Linked DNA regions of Macaca fascicularis. The protein of the gene in region 2 interacts with the protein of the main gene of each other region in a pairwise test. Links are inferred from orthologs where the notes say so. Each region holds a gene or a part of one and is shown on either strand. Other genes may lie near its edges. The genes, in order: EIF4A2 and PDCD4.

What was found.
Region 1: the proteins of PDCD4 (region 2) and EIF4A2 interact in binary tests that used the Homo sapiens proteins (3 or more experiments, as listed by UniProt). The two-hybrid records come from large-scale screens. The link is inferred for Macaca fascicularis from reciprocal best matches to the Homo sapiens genes PDCD4 and EIF4A2.

The regions. Positions count from the first base shown.
Region 1 is NC_088376.1:11,706,508-11,718,521, forward strand, and holds EIF4A2 (eukaryotic initiation factor 4A-II), read right to left. Parts: upstream 6,844-12,014; 5' UTR 6,810-6,843; coding exon 6,781-6,809; intron 5,991-6,780; coding exon 5,942-5,990; intron 5,856-5,941; coding exon 5,723-5,855; intron 5,619-5,722; exon of another isoform or gene 5,550-5,618; intron 5,450-5,549; coding exon 5,310-5,449; intron 4,528-5,309; coding exon 4,359-4,527; intron 4,248-4,358; coding exon 4,138-4,247; intron 4,093-4,137; exon of another isoform or gene 3,966-4,092; intron 3,910-3,965; coding exon 3,766-3,909; intron 3,741-3,765; exon of another isoform or gene 3,563-3,740; intron 3,333-3,562; coding exon 3,195-3,332; intron 3,160-3,194; exon of another isoform or gene 3,028-3,159; intron 2,969-3,027; coding exon 2,879-2,968; intron 2,852-2,878; exon of another isoform or gene 2,713-2,851; intron 2,659-2,712; coding exon 2,579-2,658; intron 2,148-2,578; exon of another isoform or gene 2,037-2,147; intron 1,333-2,036; coding exon 1,188-1,332; 3' UTR 557-1,187; downstream 1-556. Other genes in the region: RFC4 (replication factor C subunit 4), read left to right, coding at 51-131, 202-315, 393-488. UniProt on the Homo sapiens protein: ATP-dependent RNA helicase which is a subunit of the eIF4F complex involved in cap recognition and is required for mRNA binding to ribosome.
Region 2 is NC_088383.1:119,972,124-119,983,409, reverse strand, and holds part of PDCD4 (programmed cell death protein 4), read right to left. Parts: intron 10,254-11,286; coding exon 10,140-10,253; intron 7,846-10,139; coding exon 7,624-7,845; intron 5,678-7,623; coding exon 5,580-5,677; intron 4,662-5,579; coding exon 4,547-4,661; intron 1,146-4,546; coding exon 1,038-1,145; intron 827-1,037; coding exon 716-826; intron 1-715. UniProt on the Homo sapiens protein: Inhibits translation initiation and cap-dependent translation. May excert its function by hindering the interaction between EIF4A1 and EIF4G. Inhibits the helicase activity of EIF4A. Modulates the activation of JUN kinase.

The DNA.
Region 1 (12,014 bases), on a different chromosome or scaffold from region 2:
TGTTAGTCTCACCTAGAAACATCTTTAATACTGAACGTTCAATTACCTAGGTAATACCAGCTGAGAAAATTGATGGAGTATTTGCTGCCTGTCAGAGTGGCTCTTTTGACAAACTAGAAGCTGTGGTCAAGGTAAAGTCAGCTTACTAACTTTGGGGAAAGGAATATTAAATGATCATACCAAAAGTTTTTTTTTTAATAGGACTTAATAGATGAGGGTCATGCAGCAACTCAGTTCGTCAGTCAACTCCATGATGTGGTTGTAGAGAATAATTTATCTGATAAACAGAAGTCCATTATTACAGAAAAACTTGCCGTAAGTAGGTACTTTGCACATGTCAATTAAACATTTAACTACCTGAAGGATGCTAATTTCTTAAATTTTTCTTGTAGGAAGTTGACAAATGCCTAGCAGATGGTGCTGATGAACATTTGCAACTCATCAGCCTTTGTGCAACTGTGATGCAGCAATTATCTCAGAATTGTTAAAAAGTGAATATATTTTGATGTGGGGTTTTGTAAATAAGGGGGTTGTAATAAAAATGACCAAAAGCACCTTTAAAGTGAATATACAATTTATTTAACATTCAAACTTCATTAAGACATGTGCAATATGGCAATTTTACTGGGGATTAAACCCTACCTAGGATGATTGCTTGCTGGGGCTTAGCAACAGGGTCCAGTTCACACTTAGCACTAATTAAATACTTTATTGAATAAATACAATACCAAACAAAATGCATTCAAATGCTTTCTAAAAAAATTTTAAAGGCCTTTCTACTCAGGCTAATGACAAACACAATAAAGGCAGATATGCTAGTTTAACATAATTGGCTGATTTTATACAGCACTTATATCTTTTAGTCCACAAGTATATTATTAAATGATAGAGAACATCTAATACAACCATTTCTACAGAACTAGGAAATAAATTTCTAAGAAAGAAAGATTTTACAGACCCCATCTTTTATACCCACCCCAACAGTCTAACTCTAAAGAGGATAAAGCCAATGACTTTCCTCACAAGAGCTCACGACTAATGTCGCTTTGCTATCAAAATCTGTATTTCTGATCCGTTATGAGCATTGAGACAAGATTCAAATATTCCCAAAGAAAGAAGCACAATGCACGTTGTGATCGCCTATTCAGCAACAGCGAGCACTGCATCCAAAACTCTCATCCCAGGAATTAAATAAGGTCAGCCACATTCATGGGCATCTCCTCCACTGTAGTATTGTAGAAAGTCTCAATGTCACGAAGAATCCTCTTGTCTTCTTCAGTAACAAAGTTTATAGCCACACCTTTCCTCCCAAATCGACCCCCTCTGCCAATTCTGTGTAAGAAAAAAACAATCAGAATGTTACTTCTCACATAATTTATGAACTACTGAACATGACGATCCACTTGTTAACCATCAGCTGCTGTTTACTTATCAAGGTTATAGTTCGTGCTTCTAACTGGAGCACTAGCTGCTAATGCATATCTAGAGAAAAAAATCTTCCTTTGCAGTTAGTGCCAAAAGGATTCAAGGCTTGTCTGGCTGCAAAATGAGATTTTTATCAGGCATCTTGAGCATTATTATAAAGCAGATGACAGTATTGTGTTTGGGGTAGTGAAATTAAAGCCCATACCAAAGTGGGCCAGCCAAGAGCAGGTGTCAGCCTGGGACAGATGTAAACACCAGGAATAAAAGAGCAGTTATGTAATCCATTTCGACGCACTTCTGGAACTGTAAACTGTAAACAAATGCTGCAAAGGTTAACTATTTTCTAAAACTTACTTTTTTCCAGTGGGAAAACAAGTTATTTGGTATGGTAACCCAAACTTATCACTGCTTTTTTGCTCAGTTTCACACGTTGTAACTCAAATTACTCAAAACGTGTTTAACCGCCAAACAGCTACCTTCATGTTAGAAACCAGACAATACAAACCACCTAGTAAGAAAAGTTCCCTAACAGAAATACTAATACGAAAGATGCCTCAGCTGGAGCAACTTAAAATAAATAATCATGACAAAAGAAAAACAAATATAAATACCGACTCGCTCTTTATTCAAACAGTGTGCTGTTTCGCTTATGATTCCACGTCCTAAATTACGTCAACGCCGTTTCTGAGTGCCATCTCGTCATCAACTGCTGCTATCGACTCCTGTATTTTTTAAAAAGTCTTTTTTTACATCACATAACAAAGTACGATTCAATTTATTTAGGGATAAAGCCACTATAACTAAACCAGGGTTCACTCAAATTGCTACCAGGCGACACCAAGAAAATCCCAACTATGGAAAAAATCAAGAAAAAGCACATGGACACAAGAACATCACTAAAAGCTCAAGCATAAGCTAAGACCAACAATTGCGGGGGAAAAAAAAACCTATGCCCACAATCTGAGCAATGTTTACAAGTTTTCCCACTTTGTTCTCGTCAGCCTTCCCCTAGTACAAATTTAATTACATCATCTTACTGAACACTACTGACTTGACTGAATCTATTCCTTGATTTGATGTTACCTTTCATACAAATCACAGTAGAAAAATGTATGAATTTTTTTTCAATACATCCAAGATGCTGGCTTCTCACCTGTGAATATAGTTTTCACGATTGGTAGGTAGATCATAATTTATAACCAAAGACACTTGTTGCACATCAATCCCGCGAGCCTGAAACACAATGGCATATGTTAAAAATTCTAATTCAAAAAACATGGTACCTGTCATGTAGGCCACAAAATAGTAGCGAACTATACTAAGTGGTATAGCCCACTGTGGAGTGTGGTCCTTTTACTCTTCCAAATAGCCCAAGCTGGCAAAGGTTACTTAAAAACCTTCCCCCCAAAAAGCTAACTTTTGGTAGATTTTTAAAAAGCATTAAGAGACTTACCAACAAGTCAGTAGTGATCAGAACACGACTTGACCCTGACCGGAATTCCCTCATGATAACATCTCTCTCCTTCTGGTCCATGTCACCATGCTGCAAATTAATAAACCTTAATTCAAGAATCACCAGTCAGGTCAGTAATTTTAATCAACATGTATGAGACCAAGCGTCCCTGGCTGCTACAGGAATATAGCAGACAGGTATAGTTAAGAAACAACTTTATTTTGAGCAGGGGGAACGACAACACAGCACTTAGCAGCTATATTGTAGTCTGAATCCTGCTTTAGTGGAAATCCAGACATTTTAGAACACCTCTTACCAGAGCAGAAACTGTGAAGTCTCTGGCATGCATTTTCTCAGTCAGCCAGTCCACCTTGCGCCTTGTATTGAGAAAAATAACAGCTTGCGTAATGGTCAGTGTCTCGTACAAGTCACAAAGTGTATCCAACTTCCATTCCTATAATGTTTAGAAGAGAAAGTTAACAGTCATTTAGCTTTTCCAACTTTCTTCAGTTAAAAATACATTCTGGGCCAGGCACAGTGCTTATGCCCATAATCCCAGCACTTCGGGATCCCAACACTTGAGCCCAGGAGTTCCAACCAGTTTCCAGATAGTGAAACCCTGTCTCTACCCAAAATACCAAAATTGGCCCCTCTTAGCCAGTCTCAAAACGTAGGGGTCTAATGAGATATTGCACCAAATCTTAAGACAAAGGACATTGGACATTAAGAAAGAGGTCCATCCCAGTCTTTACAATCTAGTGCTGTTACTTTTCTTCTTGTGTGTACTCTGCTAGCATTATTGCAAAAACCAAGACATAGTCCTAGTGTCTGCAATTTTAGCACAGTGCTTATACAAGAAGGTAAAATAATGTCTAACAATCAGTTACCTCTCTCTCAACATTAATATAAAACTGTTTGATTCCTTCAAGGGTCAATTCTTCCTTTTTCACCAGAATTCGAATTGGATCTCTCATGAATTTTTTGGTCACTTCCAACACATCAGTTGGCATTGTGGCAGAAAGCAACACAACCTTGAAAAGAGAAAATTATGTTGTAGAACAACTTACACAGTAATACCCAAGAGAAAATGTTTGAAGCCAAGCGTCTCTGTCTCACTACAGAATGGAGTTAGACAGAGATAGTTATGCATCAAGTGCTTTAAGCAGGGGGAACGACAATAAAACACGTCAGTTGTATTGTAACAGTACCTGCATTAAACCCCATCTGTACCTTTAAGAGGGGAGTGAAGTAATGCTTACCTGAATACTTGTGTTTAGTTTTTGGAAAATCTCATAGATTTGATCCTTAAACCCACGGCTCAACATTTCATCTGCTTCATCCAAAACAAACATTTTGATCCATTTTGGAGCTGTTAGAAACAAAGTCATACTGTCACTTCTAGATCTACTCAGTAATATGATGACTTTTCAACTGTAACAGTAAAAAAAAAAAAAAAAACTCTTTTAAAGACAATACTTACAAAGATATCTTCTGTTTAACATATCAAAAACTCTCCCAGGTGTACCAACAACAATATGTGGTGCTTCGGCCTGCAGTTTTTGCATTTCATTTCGAACATTTGTTCCACCAATGCAGGCATGACAAGTTGCTCCCATATAGTCTCCAAGTGCCAGAATTACCTTTTGGATCTAAAAACCAAGCCTTAATTATTATCCTGAAGAACTCCAGGATCAATGACTACTTTTTAAAGCATAATGGCAAATTTAAACTGGTCTGCCAACAGCTTTTATGCATGCACAGCACGAAACTACTTCCAAGCTTAAAACGCAGACTGACCTAACTGCTTCAAGGTAAAACTCCCTTAATGTCTTTCTTCTGCCTTGTCAAACTTGGGATGCTGCTGCCCCACGCATCAGCTAGACAATTCAAGAATAACATTTCCTACATTATTCTTCACTGTGTGTAGGGAGTACATAGTGAAATATATGTTCTGTAATTACAGCTAGGGCAAATAATTTTTTTCCCCCAGAGGGTATTGTGCTTTATATAATCTTGACCTCAATAAAGCCTCCAGCTTTATTAGGAAGGTTTACTTCAAAGCCAATATAGCAGTGAGCTTTGAAAACATAGCATGCAACAGATGCATCACAAACTACGGAGACAGTCAAATGGTAACATGTCACTGCAGTTTTCATGTTGCACAACTGCATTCAAACTTAAAAAATGGGGACAGATCTAGTACATCCAAGAGAGTGTTTCGGATTCTCAATCTATTAGTATACAACCCTACAAACCATACCTGCATACCCAGTTCTTTTAAAGCTTTCAACAAAAACTCCCTGCATGCATGGACAATTAAAAGGAAGGATCTGGTAGGACCAATTTATACTAAGTTTTAAATTCTTCACAGTTGTGAAACCTGAAACCTATGCAACACGCAAGCAGTTTTTTTGAACTACACTATCAATACCTGTTGAGCCAGTTCTCTGGTGGGGGCCAATACTAGTGCTTGGGTCTCCTTGAACTCAATCTCCAACTGTTGCAGGATGGAAATAGCAAATGTGGCTGTCTTGCCAGTACCTGACTGAGCTTGAGCAATCACATCATACCCTAAAAAAAGTAGGATACATATTTACCGATCCCACATCAAATTGTCACTTCTACTTTACACCATGTATTCCATTTGGAACATGAATTATGCCCAAATAATAAGTGATCAGCAATGAGTATTCTCTTCATTTCAGGTCAGTCCCGAAAGATGATTGCCATCATTTCACTTTAAGGAATACAAACAGGTGCTAGTCCCCCAGAGGTTACTTTCCCTTTTACGGTCCATGACTATGTAGAATAAAGTCATTTCCTAAAAATTCCAGTTTCTTTTACCTTTAATACAGGGAATAATAGCTCTCTGCTGAATAGCGGAAGGCTTCTCAAAACCGTAAGCATAGATGCCACGAAGAAGAGACTCCTTTAAATTCATATCATCAAAGTTATCAACAATCTCATTCCAGTTGCTCTGTAAGTTAGAAAAAATAATGCACGCATGAATGAGATGAACACATTCACCTTTTCAAAGCTTCAACATCCACAACCGTTTCTTACCTCGATGACACCATCGGGGTCCATTCCCTCTGGGCCGCCATGTTCTCTGCTGACAAGAATACTGCAGTCAGACATCCCTTCCAAGCCACCTTAACTGCATCTTAAAGGGATAGCCCTTTGCAACCCGTCTCAGCACATTAGCCTCCCCTGCACAAGTTAAAGCAGCAGCTGCAGGACGAATATCACACTGCGCGCCTTCCCTAAAGGTTGGGGGCCGCGGACGTCCGGAAAGGCAGCCCCCCAGGCCCCAGCGCATGGGGATCCCGTTTCGGCGGCGGAGCGTCTCGCGAGAGCTCGGGGCGACGAGCTCCGCCCCCAACAATGCGCAAGCCGGGTGATTGACGCGGGCGGAGCGGCCTGGCGAGAGCGATGCCAACGGTTCGCCGGCACCCGTGCCGGTCCGGTCCCATCGCCTCCGCGCCGTGGCCGAGTGGAGACCGCTGCCTCCAACCCTTCCCCAACTGAAGCCAAGGACCCCCAACTCCTGTGGTTGACCAAAAATAAAGCTTCGGGTCCTGGTTACACTGTACCGAACGCGGACTGCGCCACGGCTGTTTACTGCATGTTTCCCGTGCTCTACACTGGGAGGGGAAGCAGCCAAAATTCCTAATGTCTTAGGGAGGAGAAACGCCCTTTAGCCGCTGCTTTCGCACCATCGTCCTGTCTCCCCACAATCCGGGCCCTACCCATCATGGAAGCTTCTGGAAGGGCACAGGGGTGCTGTACCCTAAGGAAACGTGCACTAAGTTGGAGTTTTTGCCTCCATGCCATCCACTATAATCTCTCCTGGCGCCCTACGACCTTCACTACAGACCGCGACCGCCAACAGCGCGCCATACCTGTTATAATCCGCGGAGCCACCAGACATGATCCGAAAAACCACTCAGCGCCCGACTGAAAAGACAGCAGAGCCCCGCCACCCGTTTTTTATAGGCTCGTGGCCGGAACCCGTTTCTTGCGGAGGAATTTTCTCGCCGTGCTTCGGTCAGCCACAAAATTGTGATCCTGGGGTCGTTACGTCGGATAAAATCCTAAGCAAGACGGTTGGAAAATCCAAATGTGGTAATTTCTCGATATTATAGGGTCGCTGGAAATCCTAGGGCCCGGGGTTGGGTTGGGATTCTTTACCTCGCGGCGGAAGAATATCGCTGCGGCGTTAGTCAAACACCACTTTCCCCGCCCGCCCTGCTCCTACGGGGTTTCCGCGTCCCTGACGCAGAGGCGGGCCGGGGGAGTGGAGCCGGAGCCGGAGCCGGAGGCGGAAGCCGGAGACGCTGCCCGCTGGGCGTCTGGGTCTTCCCGCGTGCGAGGGGTCCCGACTCGCGGCTCGCTGCCGGCGCTCAGGTGCGGGAGGGGAACTCGGTTATTCCACTTGCTCCCACCGCTGTTTAATTTGACAGTGAAGACCTGCCTGGCATTTAGCCCGACCATTAACATCCATTCAGATCTTGGAAACGTAAAATTCCTGCTAGGGAAAATGTCGGCCACCCAGCGAGTCCCGGAAAGTTTGGTTTACCGGTACATTTTGCAGCGAGAAAAAAAAATGGAGTGTCATTTGCAGATGTCTCTGGAGTAGCCAATTCTATTCTCATATCGTTTCCGGTCTCTCGCTTTCTTTTTAAAAGAGTGTTAATGATTTTAACCTAACAGGTGTGAGGAATGCCTGAAAAAAATCATAAACTTTTGCAAATGGATAGAAGCTAAGGAGCAGTAATTTTCCGTGGAACGCACGAATTTAAATGGACGCTTTGGCAGATACAGCTCTGTGCCGCTTTGGGACTACATCGGTGTTGATTCCGTCTACATTGGTCATTTTTTAAGGGCTTTGAGCTTTACCGATATATAGTGAAATGTTGATTTATTGAAATTCAGAGCAATAATATCCTTGCTGCGTAAACTGCACGAGTCTTTAAGCTCCAGATGTTTTCAATTAGCCCCATCTCAGGTCCCTTCACAGCAACAAAAAAACAATATATGTAGTCATTTAACTTTAAAATACAACCCTACCCATGGTGCAAAATATCGAGAATATCTGGAAACATTTTATCATATTTCAGAAGGCCAACTTAAAGAATCATTACTGGGAAAGCTGACTCAATTTTCTGTATTATTGAAGATATTTGGTTCTAAATACTATTTTAATACGAAAATTATTTATTCATTTGAAAATTCTTATCGTGCCAGGAATTGGGACAAAGATGAAGAATACCAAAATGGCAAAGTGGGCCTGGCCCTCAGTCTATTGGTACTGCTCCTCATTCATTCCTCTGTAATGTTCGAAAGCCATATTTGAGGTGATGCCAGACATTTTCTGAGAATGATGTTTGTCAGAGATCCTTGTTGTCTCATCCAAAATATACTAAAACTATCCTGAGATCTAAGAAATTGAAAAATATACTAAATCAAAAAAGTGACCAACCGTTTGGTTTCACTTGGGTGAAAACAGTTGGTCACAGGGTGATACCAATCAACAATTAACACTTAATTGTTGGTTGTTTTCTTTAGGATTAGCACTACACTAGATGCTGTGGAGGATTTTCAAGCCTCTTAAGAAGAAGTCTATCCTGGCTAACATGGTGAAACCCCGTCTCTACTAAAAATACAAAAAACTAGCCGGGCGTGGTGGCGGGCGCCTGTAGTCTCAGCTACTTGGGAGGCTGAGGCGGGAGAATGGCGTGAACCCGGGAGGCGGAGTTTGCAGTGAGCCGAGATCACGCCACTGCACTCCAGCCTGGGAGACTCAGCGAGACTCCGTCTCAAAAAAAAAAAAAAAGAAGAAGAAGTAAGGGCTAAACTCTGTGGTATAGGTTTGCAAGTGCTGAGTAAGTTTCAAGGTAAGAAAACTTCAAATACAGTCAAAATCCACACCCACACTGCCTGTAACCTTACAGTGTATTCCTAATAAGTGCAGTGCTTACCACATTTGCCTGTGCTTACTAAATAGTAAACATTAGTAACTAATAAATGTATTAAAGATCAAAACGTATACTTTAACAAAGTTTTGCGTATCAACACAGAGCGTGCTCTTTTAAATTTAAGTGATTCTGCTTACCTGGAATTTGAAATTAGATAGCCTTCTCAGTGGACTATAAATGCTTCTTTGTCAAACTTTAGTGTTTGAAACCATTTATACTGCAAATAATCCTAAAGCTCAGATTATTTCCATATCTAAGCCAACTAAGGTAGTTTCGTTTTGCTCTTCAAGAGCATCAGCTAACAATTCTAAAGCCAATTAGCAACCAGAGAAGCAAAGAATTAGTACAAATCTGTCAGTGCTACATGGAAAAACAATAACAAAACCTTAAAAGAATATGCATTCAACCAGGCACGGTGGTTCATGCCTGTAATCCCAGCACTTTGGGAGGCCGAGATGGGCAGATCACGAGGTCAGGAGATCGAGATCATCCTGGCCAACATGGTGAAACCCTGTCTCTACTGAAAGTACAAAAATTAGCCGGGTGTGGTGGCGGGCACCTGTAGTCCCAGCTACTCTGGAGGCTGAGGCAGGAGAATCGCTTGAACACGGGAGGTGGAGATTGCACTCCAGCCTGAACCCGGGAGGCGGAGGTTGCCGTGAGCAGAGATGGTGCCACTGCACTCCAGCCTGGGTGACAGAGCAAGACTCCACCGGGAGGAAGGAAGGAAGGAAGGGAGAGAGGGAGGAAAAAAAGAAAAGAAAGAAAAACAAAAGAAAAAAGAACTGCCTGGAGCTGGATAGAGATGTTGGTGCTACTCACCTCTTTTTTTTTTTTTTCATTTTCCTTTTTGGCAAACCCAGGATAATCTCTGTAACTTCTTTTTATTACACAGTTTTTGAGGAAATTAGAGGCTAGGTTCTGCTTGCCTGTGACCCCTGACGCAATTTGGAGGGTGGCATTTACTGCCGTGTTCTTACACTATAACTTAGAAAACATTTGTGGTTGGGTGTGATGGCTCACGCCTGTGATCCCAGCACTTTAGAAGGCCGAGGTGAGCCGAACAACCGAGATTAGGAGTTCGAGACCAGCCTGGCATACATGGAGAAATCCAGTCTCTACTAAAAATATAAAAATTACGCCAGGCGTGGTGGCTCACACCTAATCCCAACACTTTGGGAGGCCAAGGTGGGCAGGTCACTTGAGGTCAGGAGTTCGTGGCCAGCCTGGCCAACCCGGTGAAACTCCCTCTCTAGTAAAAATACAAAAATCAATCTGACGTGGTGGCGTACGCCTGTAATCCCAGCTACTTGGGAGGCTGAGGCAGGAGAATTGCTTGAACCCGGGAGGCGGAGGTTGCGGTGAGCCGAGATTGTGCCACTGCACTCTAGCCTGGGTGACAGAGCGAGACTCCGTCTCGGGGAAAAAAAATATATATATGTATATACAAAAATTAGCCAGTTGTGGCAGCGCACACCTGTAATCCCAAGTACTCAGGCAAGAGAATCACTTGAATTCGGGAGGTGGAGGTTGCAGTGAGCTGGGATCCCACCACTGCACTCCAACCTAGGCGACAGAGAAAGATTATGTCTCAAAATAATAATAATAATAATTTGCATGAAGATAGGTAAAGATATTAACAGAGTTGAAGAAAATAGAGAAAACTGAGGAGGACCACGGAAGGACTTTTAAACTAGCTAAGAACTCGGTTTGAATCCACTGATCCAAGGTTATTAAACTCTATTGTGTAGCCAAGATACAGAAGTTTTTCTACCTTTATAGAGGAAGACTGAAATAAAAGTACATTGCTGTACTTCAAATCAGGTGATCAGAAACTGTGGTATGCATAAAAATCAATGGGAACATCTATTTGAAATGCAGATACTTGTGGACTCTGCCCTCTCACCCAGATTCACTGGATCTGAACTGAGGTGGGGCCAGCTTTTTATTTTGAAAAATTAAGGTTGGGAGCAGTGGCTCATGCCTGTAATTCCAGCCCTCTGGGAGGCCGAGGTGGGCGGATCACTTGAGATTAGTAGTTTGAGACCAGCGAGGCCAACATGGTGAAACCCCATCTCTCCAAAAATACAAAAATTAGCTGGGCATGGTGGCACACACTTGTGGTCCCAGCTACTCGGGAGGCTGAGGCAGGAAAGCAGGATAATCACTTGAATCTGGGAGACAGAGGGTACAATGGCATGATGGTGGCACTCCAGCCTGGGCAACATCTTTATTTTACCTCAAAGATTCAATATTTTGGCCAGGCATGGTGACTCACACCTGTAATCCCAGCACTTTGGGAGGCCAAATGGCTTGAACTCAGGAGGTGGAGGTTGCAGTTTGAGGAGATCACGCCACTGCATTCCAGCCTGGGTGACAGAGCAAGACTCTGTCTCAAAGAAAAAAAAAAATCACTGTTTTTCATCAATTTGCATGTCTCTTCTAGATTACATGAAGTCTCCAGGATTAAGTTTGTCCTCAGGACAAACCTACACCTCTGTGAGGGATGGAAGAAAGACCTTGATTGGCAATCTCACCCCTAAAATGTAGGCCTGGTATCTGGAATCCCACTCCTATGCCCCATTACCTGGGGCTCTATACTGCCCTCTTCATGTGACACAACCAACTCACCTTTCATGCTTGTTTGTTTTCTTTTTGAGACAGTTTCGCTCTTGTTGCCCAGGCTGGAGTACAGTGGTGCAATTTCGGCTCACCTCAGCCTCTGCCTCCCGGGTTCAAGTGATTCTCCTGCCTCAGCCTCCCGAGTAGCTATGATTACAGGCATCCACCACCATGCCCAGCTAATTTTGTATTTTTAGTACAGGCGGGGTTTCTCCATGTTGGTCAGACTGGTCTCAAACTCCTGACCTCAGGTGATCTGCCTGCCTCGGCCTCCCAAAGTGCTGCAATTATAGGCGTGAGTCACCATGCCCGGTCAAGAATTTATCTCTTTTAATTCTCATAACACGCCTGGCCTCATCTTTCATCTTTACCATATATATGAGATAAAGTTTATATATATATATATAAACTATATATATTCCTATATAGTTCATTAAAAGTAATAGTTATATTGTTTTTTGGAAATGACAAAAAAGAAAACAATCACCAATCCCAAGAATGTCTGTTTATTTTTAAACATAATGGAAATCATACTT
Region 2 (11,286 bases):
AGGTGGGAAAGAGGACAAGAGTTGAAAAACTACCTATCAGGTACTGTATTTACCTTAGAGACAAGATCATTAATTAGAAGCCCAAACCTCAGCATCACTCAATATACCCATCTAACAAACCTGTACATGTACCCCTCTGATATCTAAAATTTAAAATGTAAATTTAAAAAATAAGTAAAATTGGTTACATAGCTAAAAAAATTTTTTTAAATACTGTTCTCTTAAAAGAGCTGTAGGCAGACACCAGACATTGGGCAAACTCCTTTCCCATCTACTTCTCTATATACACTTAGTATGTTCTTTTAAAAAATACAGGCCAAACACAAACCTCACAAACATTTAAAACAAGAATCATAAAATTTTAAATAGGAAAAAAGTACTTTATAATTTGTTAAAAGTTAAAGGTTCATGTTTCTCGCTAGATATAAAATAGAAATTGTCACATCTTAGAAACCGAACCCTTGAGGTAGAATACATAATCACATTTGTCAAAGTAGGTTAAAAAAAAAACAAAAAACCCACTGCAGTGTTACTTTCCAAGAAATGGTTGCAAAAGGTTCAAACCTCAAACATTACCATTAAGAAAAAATAAAACATATAGGCATAATAACACTAAACATACCTAAAGAAAAGTCACTGACAATTCATAATCTGTATTCAATCATATATTTAAGGCATAATCCTAAAAGTTGTTCAAAAATAATGGTATACTTACTCTTTTCATTTGGTCTACAGTAATGGTAGAAGACTTCCAAAGGGACTTTAATAAATCCAAAATCATCTTAAATGTACTTTCTCCAGTTGACTCTAAAACCATTATAACAGCCTAAAAATTGAATCAATGAGTGAATTTTTGGTTAATTTATATATGAAACCGCTCCTAAATGTATCAGATGCCTTTTGTAATAGTGAAAATTTAAAAACCACTTCCTCCTTTGATATTAAAAAAAGGATGTACATTATTTAAAAAGCATAAGTCACTATGCTACAAAAAGGAACACTTAATAATTCTCTTTGACATGGCAAGGTAATCTTACTTCATATACAAGCTCATGGTGAAAATGAGGTACTTCCAGTTCCTTAAGGCAATGTTCAGCTTCAGATATGTCTCCAGAGAGTAAATATTCTTTCAGCAGCATATCAATCTATTAGATTTAAAAGTTGAGATGTGTTAGAATTCCTAACTTTTAAAATATCGTGCTTGCCTACAGGATTATTTGCCCTCATTCCAATATAATGAAATAATGGGTAACAGCTAGTAACATATAGACTGGACATGGTACTATTATCACAGAATTTTTCATAATTAAAAAATAAATCCCCAATTTTTAAATGGTTCATAATTATGACTCAAATGCAATGCTTCAGTGTGTCTGAATCACTGAGATCTACGAGTAGGTTTATAATGGACGTGTCCTGGGTTGTGACCATAATGCTTTAGTGTGCCACTAAAAATAAGGGATTTTAAATACCACTAGAGGGCACTAACAAAGTTTCAACATAAAGTGGCATAAATATTTCACTTCTATCAAGATGCTCTTAATAGTGCACTGAGAGCCAAAAAATGAGAGATGATAATGGGGTATTACTAGACAGGGCAAAGATTTCCACACAGTTTCTCTTTTCTCTACAACTGAGAATTTGAAACTCATTATCTAAAATGTTCAATAATTCAGTTTCCAGCTGTAAAGAAACAAGTCTTGATTTTCCTGCTCAAACTTGAACATCTCAAAAAAGTGGGAGAACTTTTTCAGCACAAGAGCTTCAGCTAGGAATATTTTTGCCTATATGTTCTTTGTTAAAATCCTCTTTGTATTTGGTGGGCACATATCTAGTTGTCTGAATGTTGAATGCTGGCTGACTGAATTTAAAAAAATCGTATTTAAGTATCCTTCCAACTTTTATAATGTATTTTCATAAAAGGTAAAGTAAAATTTAATTGCTGTCATGCCTTAGGATGTAATATTTACATGTAAGTAAATATGTATTTAAATATTTACATGTAAGTAAATATTTAAAGCACAGCATTTGAATATATTTACTTTATAATTACAAACTAATACATAATCATGCATCGTTTAATAGGGATACATTCTGAAAAGTGTGTTACATGACTGTCATGGTGCAAACATCATACAGTATACTCACAGAAACCTAGATGGTATAGCCTACTACACACCAGTGCTATAAGATATAGCCTATTGCTCCTAGGCTACAAATCTGTACAGCAGGTCAGTATATTGAATGATATAGGCAATTGGAACACAATGGTATTTGTGTATCTAAACATAGAAAAGGTACAGTAAAAATACAGTATAAATGATTTTTTAAATGATACACCTGTATAGAGCACTCAATATGAATAGAGCTTTCAGGATGGAAGTTACTCTGGGTGATTCAATGAGTGAGTGGTTAGTGAATGTAAAGGCCTAAGACATTACCCATACACTGCTATGCACTTTATAAACACTGTATACTTAGGCTACACTAAATTTATGAAAAAACAAAGTAACTGTGCTACAACATTACAACTGTCTCCATATCACTGGAGGATAGGAATATTTCAGCTCCATTAGAACCTTGTGGGACCACCACCATCCCATGCAGTTCATCACTGACCAAAACATCATTATGTGGCACATGACTGTACTTGTTATTCAAATCATATTACTTATTTTTAACATTTGTTACATAACTTTAAAAGTATTAAAAATATACCCCATCAAATTCCATGCACTTCTGAGAATAAATTACAAATACATTTATACATTTCTAAAAGTCTTCTTTGATCCAACCCTTCCATGTAAGCAAATATCCAAATAATGTCAACCTCAAACTCATATACTGGTAGTTTTATTTCCTTTTTTATCTTGTCAATTTTCTTTCTTGAGAGAGAATTCATACACCATAAAACATCTTGTCCAGTTTCCAAAAATATTAATTTTGGAGAGTATTACCATCTTAACAATATTAAATATCCTAATCCATAACCATGGGATATCATTCTATTTATTTAGGTCTTCTTTAATTTCTTTCAACAAGTTTTACAGTTTTCAGTGTACAAGACTTGCATTTCTCTTGTTAAATTTATTCCTAAGTATTTTATTTTTGATGCTATCATAAATGCAATAATTTCATTTCAGATCATTCATTCCTACTGTATATAGAATTGAATTTTGTGTACTAATCTTGTATCTTGCAACCTTTCTGAACTCATTTTTTAGTTAATAGTTTGGTTTCAGTCTTGGGGAGTTAAAAAAATGTGGATTCATTCAAATTTTCTGAATACAGATCATGTTACCTGGGAATACAACTAGTTTTATCTCCTCCTTTCCAATCTGGATGCCTTTTATCTTTCCTGCCTAACTGCCCTGGCATCTTTACTATTTTTATACCTCAATTTTTCTAATTATTATTTAATTTTTAAAAACAGATACTAAATCACAACATTACAAACACTGACTCATCTCTTTTAACATATATAAAAGCAAAAATGGTCAAGGGCTCTAACTACATTTTGAACTCCTTAACACTTAAGCTAGATACACATACACACACACACCCCTCATTAAAAGATTTACTAAAAATCAAAATTACAGTTACATGAAAAGATTATACTCAAAAATCAGAAGCACATGAACTACAAATCTTCTAGTTGCATGCCTTTTCTTAAAGAGATCTGCAGATAAGGAGTTTTTTTTGTTTTTTGGTTTCTTGTTACAGAATACCACAATACAGCCAGAAAAAAAAAAATCCACAGGAAATAAATCTGGCATTTTAATGCAATAAATCGCTTTTTTTTTTTTTTTTCTGAGACACAATCTTGTTCTGTCACCCATGCTGGAGTACAGTGGCGTGATCTTGGCTCACTGCAACCTCCGCCTCCTGGGTTCAAGCAATACTGGTGCCTCGGCCTCCTGAGTAGCTGGGATTACAGGTGCGCACCACCATGCCTGACTAATTATTATGTACTTTTAGTAGAAATGGGGTTTCACCATGTTGACAAGGCTGGTCTCGAACTCCTGGCCTCAAGCAATCCACCTGCCTCAGCCTCTCAAAGTACTGGGATTACTATCAATTTTCTTTTAAAACACGCATATGGGTAGTGAACGTCCTCACAAAAATCTAACACTCTGATCTACTCTAGTGCTCATAATTCCTAACTCATTATTTAAGACTATCTAGTTTTAATTTACTTATATAAAAGCATATTTATTGAATAGCTAAAAGACAGAAAATCTCATTTCAACAGCATTTGAAAATTATTAAATAATAATATGAGAGAAAGATTTCAGGCATTCCTTTGAAGTTCATAGATGGCTTGCTTATAATTATTCATGAAAGCCCTTTTAACAGACTCATTTTTTATCATATAATTTATAATAAAAGCTCATAAAGTCAAATATAAAAGAATTATTTCATTTTCCAATTACAGCTGTAAGACCGAACTTAATTTTTGTCCATAAAAATAACAGCTAGTAGCCACAATTTATTTCACTCAGAGGAATACATGTAAATTAAGTTAAAGACAATACCCAATCATTACCTCTTTAACAAGGTGATTGACAGATTGCTGCCCACCTCCAGAGCCCCACACACTATCTTTACGCTTTCCACCTTTAGACATGCTCAGAAGCACAGTAGCCTTATCCAGAGCAGCTCTACAGAGAAAGAAAAAAAATTTAAGTTTGGTAGCTGGACATACCTAAAGTTTACCAAATTATGGATAAAGCTTACAAAATCCTATATGCCCTAAATCTTTCACAAAACATAAAAGCAAAATAAAATTCAAAACACTTTTTCAAAACAAAAAGGAGCAAAAAAAGTTGATCCTCATGTTAATATTCTCATGCTTTATTTCATTTCTCCTTCAAGAAAAATCAAAACACATTACAAAATAACTGATCTACACTGAGAAGAAGCACTTCATATATAATTAACTTTCACCTAGATCCATGTCTTCCTACCCAGGAAGACCATTTCACTATGATGTGAAGTAGCCCTAGAAAATTAATATACAGACCTAAGGAAAACTAAGACATGGCTGAGTCCAAGTCTCCAAGAAGTCAAGAAAAATCATATAGCATAACTCCCAAATATCACATTTAGTTATTCCAAATATCATATTAATTATACTAAATCACAAGAGTGAAAAAGACATTTTCTGACTAAAATTCCTACAGTAGATAAATACAAAATAAAACTATAAATGAGGCCTCTCTTGTTAATGTTATCCATCTTATTAGAATATTAAACTACTACAGAATGCTAGAACCTGAAAACAGAACTTAAAAGATCTGTCCAATGGCTTTGTTTCATAAAGAAACTGAGGCCCAAAGAAGAGTGGCTTGACATGAAGGTAATTAATGATTTAGCTAAACTCCAGAACTTTTGCATTATAGTACTGTCCTCTTCCTGGTATGTCACGTCAACATTCTCTCCATTTTAACAGTGGAGAATATAGAGAAGTGACAAACAGATGTACAGAGTGTTTGATTAATGCCAAGTGTCATTTCAATATGATCCTGTAGAATTTTCCCCTATTTTGAAATTCTAAGCAGGAAAAGTGATTTACTTACCTAGCCTGCACACAATCTACAGTTCCTTTGTAACTATCAATATAGGTATTACATAAAATTCCATCTCCAACAGCTCTAGCAATAAACTGGCCCACCAACTGTAATAAGGAAAAAAAAAAAGAGCTATATAAAAAAATCTTAAATAACTTTTATAGGACACAATTTCTAAATACATAAATGATGATGATTGGCTGAAGTACACAGTCAGTACCTGAAAGATGCTGGAAGTTTTTTTAAAAAAAAAGCCTATGTAGTACCTGTTATGCCTGGCATACACTCCCACATCTTAACCTTCAAGTTAAGTGCCAGAGTGGGGGCCACCTCTGTTGTGCTCACTAATGAATTCCTACCACCTTGCACACTGCCTGAATACATAGTACATGATTTTTTTTTTTTTTTTTTTGAGACAGAGTCTCGCTCTGTCACCCAGGCTGGAGTGCAGTGGCGTGATCTCAGCTCACTGCAACCTCCACCTCCCGGGTTCAAGTAATTCTTCGGCCTCAGCCTCCCAAGTGGCTGGGACTACAGGCGCACGCCACCATGCCTGGCTAATTTTCACATTTCTAGTAGAGACGGGGTGTCACCATCTTGGCCAGGCTGGTCTCAAACTCCTGACCTCGTGATTTGCCTGCCTCAGCCTCGCAAAGTGCTGGGGTTAAATGAATGATTTAAGGTCAAGTGAAGTCTTCTTAAAAAAAAAAAAAGAGGAGGCCGGGCGCGGTGGCTCAAGCCTGTAATCCCAGCACTTGGGGAGGCCGAGACGGGCGGATCACGAGGCCAGGAGATCGAGACCATCCTGGCTAACACGGTGAAACCCCGTCTCTACTAAAAAATACAAAAAACTAGCCGGGCAAGGTGGTGGGCGCCTGTAGTCCCAGCTACTCGGGAGGCTGAGGCAGGAGAATGGCCTAAACCCAGGAGGCAGAGCTTGCAGTGAGCTGAGATCCGGCCACTGCACCCCAGCCTGGGCGACAGAGCAAGACTCTGTCTCAAAAAAAAAAAAAAAAAAAAAAAAAAGACTAGGTTCTCTCAAAAACTAATCAAAGGAATTTATCTTGTGGAGAAAGAAAAGTTGTATAGAAATAGCTGGAAGTATGTTCACAGCATTACTTATTATAAAAAATGGAAATTAGTGTCCAAAAATAAAGCTATGGTTCAATGGTATATATGTAAAATGGTATATTATGTGGCCACAGGGAAAGATATTTACCATATTTCATGGTATGAGAAAAATCAAGTTTACAAAATAGCATACATGGTATGATTCCATTTTTTTAATTTAAAAAAATTAAGGATTTATAGAAGTCATACACTGATATATACCCACAGAAAGGAGAATGGAAAACTTAACACCAGTAGCAGTTTTTGCTGGCCTTTCTTCTTTCCGGCTTTTATTTTTCAAAAATTCTACAATAAATATAAACTTATATAATCATTTTGTTACAGTACGTGTATTGGTATAAAAGGAAAAAATGTCTGCATTAGAATCACCACTCAATATCTCATACAGACTACTGTCTGTCATAAGTATAACAGAAACAGCATTTAGGAACTGACATGCCTATATTCTATTTCTAAATTAATGTTTTAGGTAAAATGATTTTACCTTGATTAAAAACTTTTGACAATAACAATTTCACATGTTTTTAAAGCTACAAAAGGGAAGAGTCTTATTCCTGACTTTTTATAATAAACATTAGTGAAGCAATCGTAACCTACATTTTTTAAAAATCTTAGTTAATAAAACAATTACATATAATAAAGACTATATATATGGCAAAACAAAAAAAAAAGAACTAAAAACTACACAGATCATGGGGGAAAAGTACAACGTAACATTAAATTTATAGCATGATGAAGACCATGTTTAAAAAACAAAAGAACTAGGAAAAAATACACCGAAATGTTAGAGGGGTAGTTCGGTGTGGTAGGAAATGTGGGCCATCCCCTTCCATCTACTAAAATTTCCTAGGAGTATACATTACTTCCACAATTAGGAGTATAGTCGTGGGAGGGAATGAACAAAAAGAAGAATCATACAAACCTGTGGTGCTCTAGGAGTATCCAATGCTAATTCAGGTAGATCTTTCAACAATTTATCAAATGATTTTTCCACATCACTTGTGCTCATTACTGTCCCACAAAGGTCAGAAAGAAGCTTAGATGTCATCTCTCTATGACTAGCCTTCCCCTCCAATGCTAAGGACACTGCCAACACCGGTACTCCACTTTTCATTTCACCAAGATTTAAATCTCTTAACATTTCCTGTTCAAAAAAATAATTTAAAAACATTTTTAACGTGTATCACTACCTACAGTTCAATAAAATTTTATATTTGAAAAATCAAGCTTTTATCTATATGTCTTTACCTCTCACTCTTTGGAAATAATCAAAAGACACAGTCATGTTTTAGGAGATAGGATAAATACACCTTTTTTCCCTGTGCATAAATTAGACATTGATCCACTTTGTCAAGCTTTAACTGCCTTAACATCGCTAAATTCAAAAATGTGAAATACATTTAAAATACTGTCATGGGTCACTTAACGACATGGATACATTCTGAGAAATTCACCATTTAGGTGATTTCATCAGTGTGCAATCATTATAGAGTGTACTTACACAAACCTAAATGGCATAGCCTACATGTAGGCTATATGGTATAACCTATTGCTCCTGGGCTACAAACCTGTATAGTATGTTACTATACTGAATACTGTAGACAACTATAACACAATGGTTACCTATCTAAACACAGAAAAGATATAGTAAAGAGTATTATTTGAGACCACAGGTATATATGCAGTCTGTCATGGAAACATCATTATGCAGCTCATGGCTAGTTCATTAAACCACATAATATTGCTAAGATTGGTATTAGGAGTAACTAACCTGCCTTACAATCTATTATTTCTATAAATACTGTTTTATGAGAATTTGTGGAGAAATTCATTTTACATTATCATAAGCTATTTATATACTACTTTTCTTCAAAGCCTTCTCTTGAAATAAAAATTCACTTTACACTTCTGTATCAAGTTTAAAATTAGATCTTAAACAACTGTTTTTAAATAGGATTATTGGTTTAAAATTCTGGGGTAAATTTAAAATTTCCTACTAGAAATATAATAGCTGCAGCTAATACTTATTGACTAATGTATCCGGCATTATAATAGCCTCTTTATTTATATTATCTTATTTAATACTCAAATAGCCCTTTGAGTATTAAATTATTATACCTATCATACTCAAAGCAGAGAGGGCACACAGCTGGAGTAGCCAAACTGAAAGCGGAATAAAGGTAGACTGACTCTAGAAGCTAAGTTCTAATTCAGTTAGAGTGCCCTCCTCTTTAATGAAAGTTTTCTTAGAATCTTTAAATCATGATACACTACTAAGAGAGTGCCAGAACTATTTTACAGCCACCTAACTGGTGTCCTTGTTAGTAATCTCTTCTCACTCACTACAGTTCATCTTCATTGACTGCACTTTAACAACTAATCCATTACCCTCAAACACGATACTCCTCTTTCCTGGAAAACTATCTTAACTGGCGAACTCCTCACCATCCTTCAGAACAGCAGAGAATCATCTCTACTATTACTCTCTATTTTATGCTTTCCAAACCTACTCAGTTAATAGATATGTAGTATACAGATGGTCTTATGCGAGGTAGATAACAAGATTTCAACAGTCCCTGCCCTCACAGACTCATGGAAACTTTTCCTCTATAACAGAATGTTTCACATACTTTAATAATCTGTTTACATATCATTTCTTTCACTTGACTGGGCTTCAAAAGGGCAAGAATCACCTATTACAAATTCCTCCAGATGGTATGCACAGAACAAATATTTGTCTTATATTCAAATCCTACAAATCCAAAGATAACAAACCTCACAGTACCAGACAAATCATAAAAGTCTAGTCTAAATTTTAAGAATCTAAATGATCAAAGTCTTCTAAGGGTTACAATTATATTACTTTAATTCAATAATCCTAACTGACCAATAGTTTTATTTTATCCTAAATTTACTTTATGAACAATTCATAATTATTCTCATGGTTTCTAATTCTTTTTCAAATCTTTATTATTTGTGGGGTTTTTTTTTTTGGACAAAGTACAAAGAAATTTTATCCTACTTCTGAATATACTTGAAATAAATGTCAAAAAAATGAAACTATGTCAGGCATTCTTGTCTGAGGTCCCTGAAGAGGTTTCAGGGGGGTCTATAAGTGCCCTCAAACTGCTAAAATTATATCTTATAAATTATAAAAACAGATTTTATAAATTCATATACATTACAAATTATCATTATAAAAATTATTAAAATATTGTCATTTTTCAGAGAAGAAAATGGCATATAGCTCTCATCACATCCCAAATATATAACTATTTTAATGTAATGAGATTTTATTCCATTTCTTAGAAATTCACTCATGCAAAAGAAAATGATTAAATTTATTCAGTGACCCAAGATCATTCCAGATGTATTTTGCTTATAAAAGATGTCTTCTCTCCTATATTAAATAAATTACACTTGCAACTTTAAACCTACCGCAACTTCATTAGTATCTCCATGCTCAAAATATTCCTGTATGATTGGTGTTAAAGTCTTCTCAAATGCCCTTTCATCCAAAGGCAAAACTACAGTTTCATAAACACAGTTCTCCTGTGAGGGGAAAAGGGAGTAAGAGTTATAAAAAACAAAATGCAAATAAACAAATGAAATTGTTGTATAATTTTATATTCTAAGTAGTTAATAATCCCCACTTAGCACAAGACAAAGATATGCTACATACATTCATCACATAAAAACAGAATCTAGGCCAGGCAAGGAGACTCACACCTACAATCCCAACACTTTGGGAAGCAAAAGCAGGAGGTTCACTTGAGGCCAGGAGTTCAATACTAGCCTGGGCAACATAGCAAAACCCTATCTCTACAAAAAAATTTTAAAAATTAGCCAGGCATGGTAGCCTGCACCTGTAGTCCTAGCTACTCAGGAAGCTGAGGCAGAAGGCTCTCTTAAGCCCAAGAGTTTGAGGCTGCAGTGAGCTATAATTAATTCATCACTGTACTCCAGCATGGACAACAAAGCTAGAAAATAGTAATAAAATAATAATAAAAATAGTAGAATGTGTATGTCACTGCTCTTTTACAAAATCAGAATAAGCCAATATATAGATTAGAGCCATTAACCATAGCAAATACATAATTTGCTCCCAACCCCCATGTCTTAATTTTTTCTCTCAAAATGTTTATGTCTCTCTCAAAACCAATCTTTCGGTAACCAAAAAGCTTCATGATGGCTTCCTATCATATATGGTATTTTAATTAAAACTTCACTTTTAGAAAAAATGAAGCAGAAACCAAAGCCTTCACGATTAGCATTATTATAATAAAAAGTATAACACAAAGATCAAGGTTGTAGTGACAGAAAAAAATCTCTAAGGAAAAAAGCACTGTTCAATTGAAATTTCAAAAAGAAGATTAACATACATCATCGAACCACTCCTCTCTCCCCATGCAAAACAAGCTCTGAAATGTAGTGCCCCCCCTTATCTACAGGGTGTATGTTCCAAGCCCTGTCAGAGGATGCCTGAAACCACAGATAGTACCAAACCCAATAAATACTGTTTTTTCAATCTGATAACCTAGACAGCTACCATGTGACGAATGCATGAGTAGTGTATACATTGCAG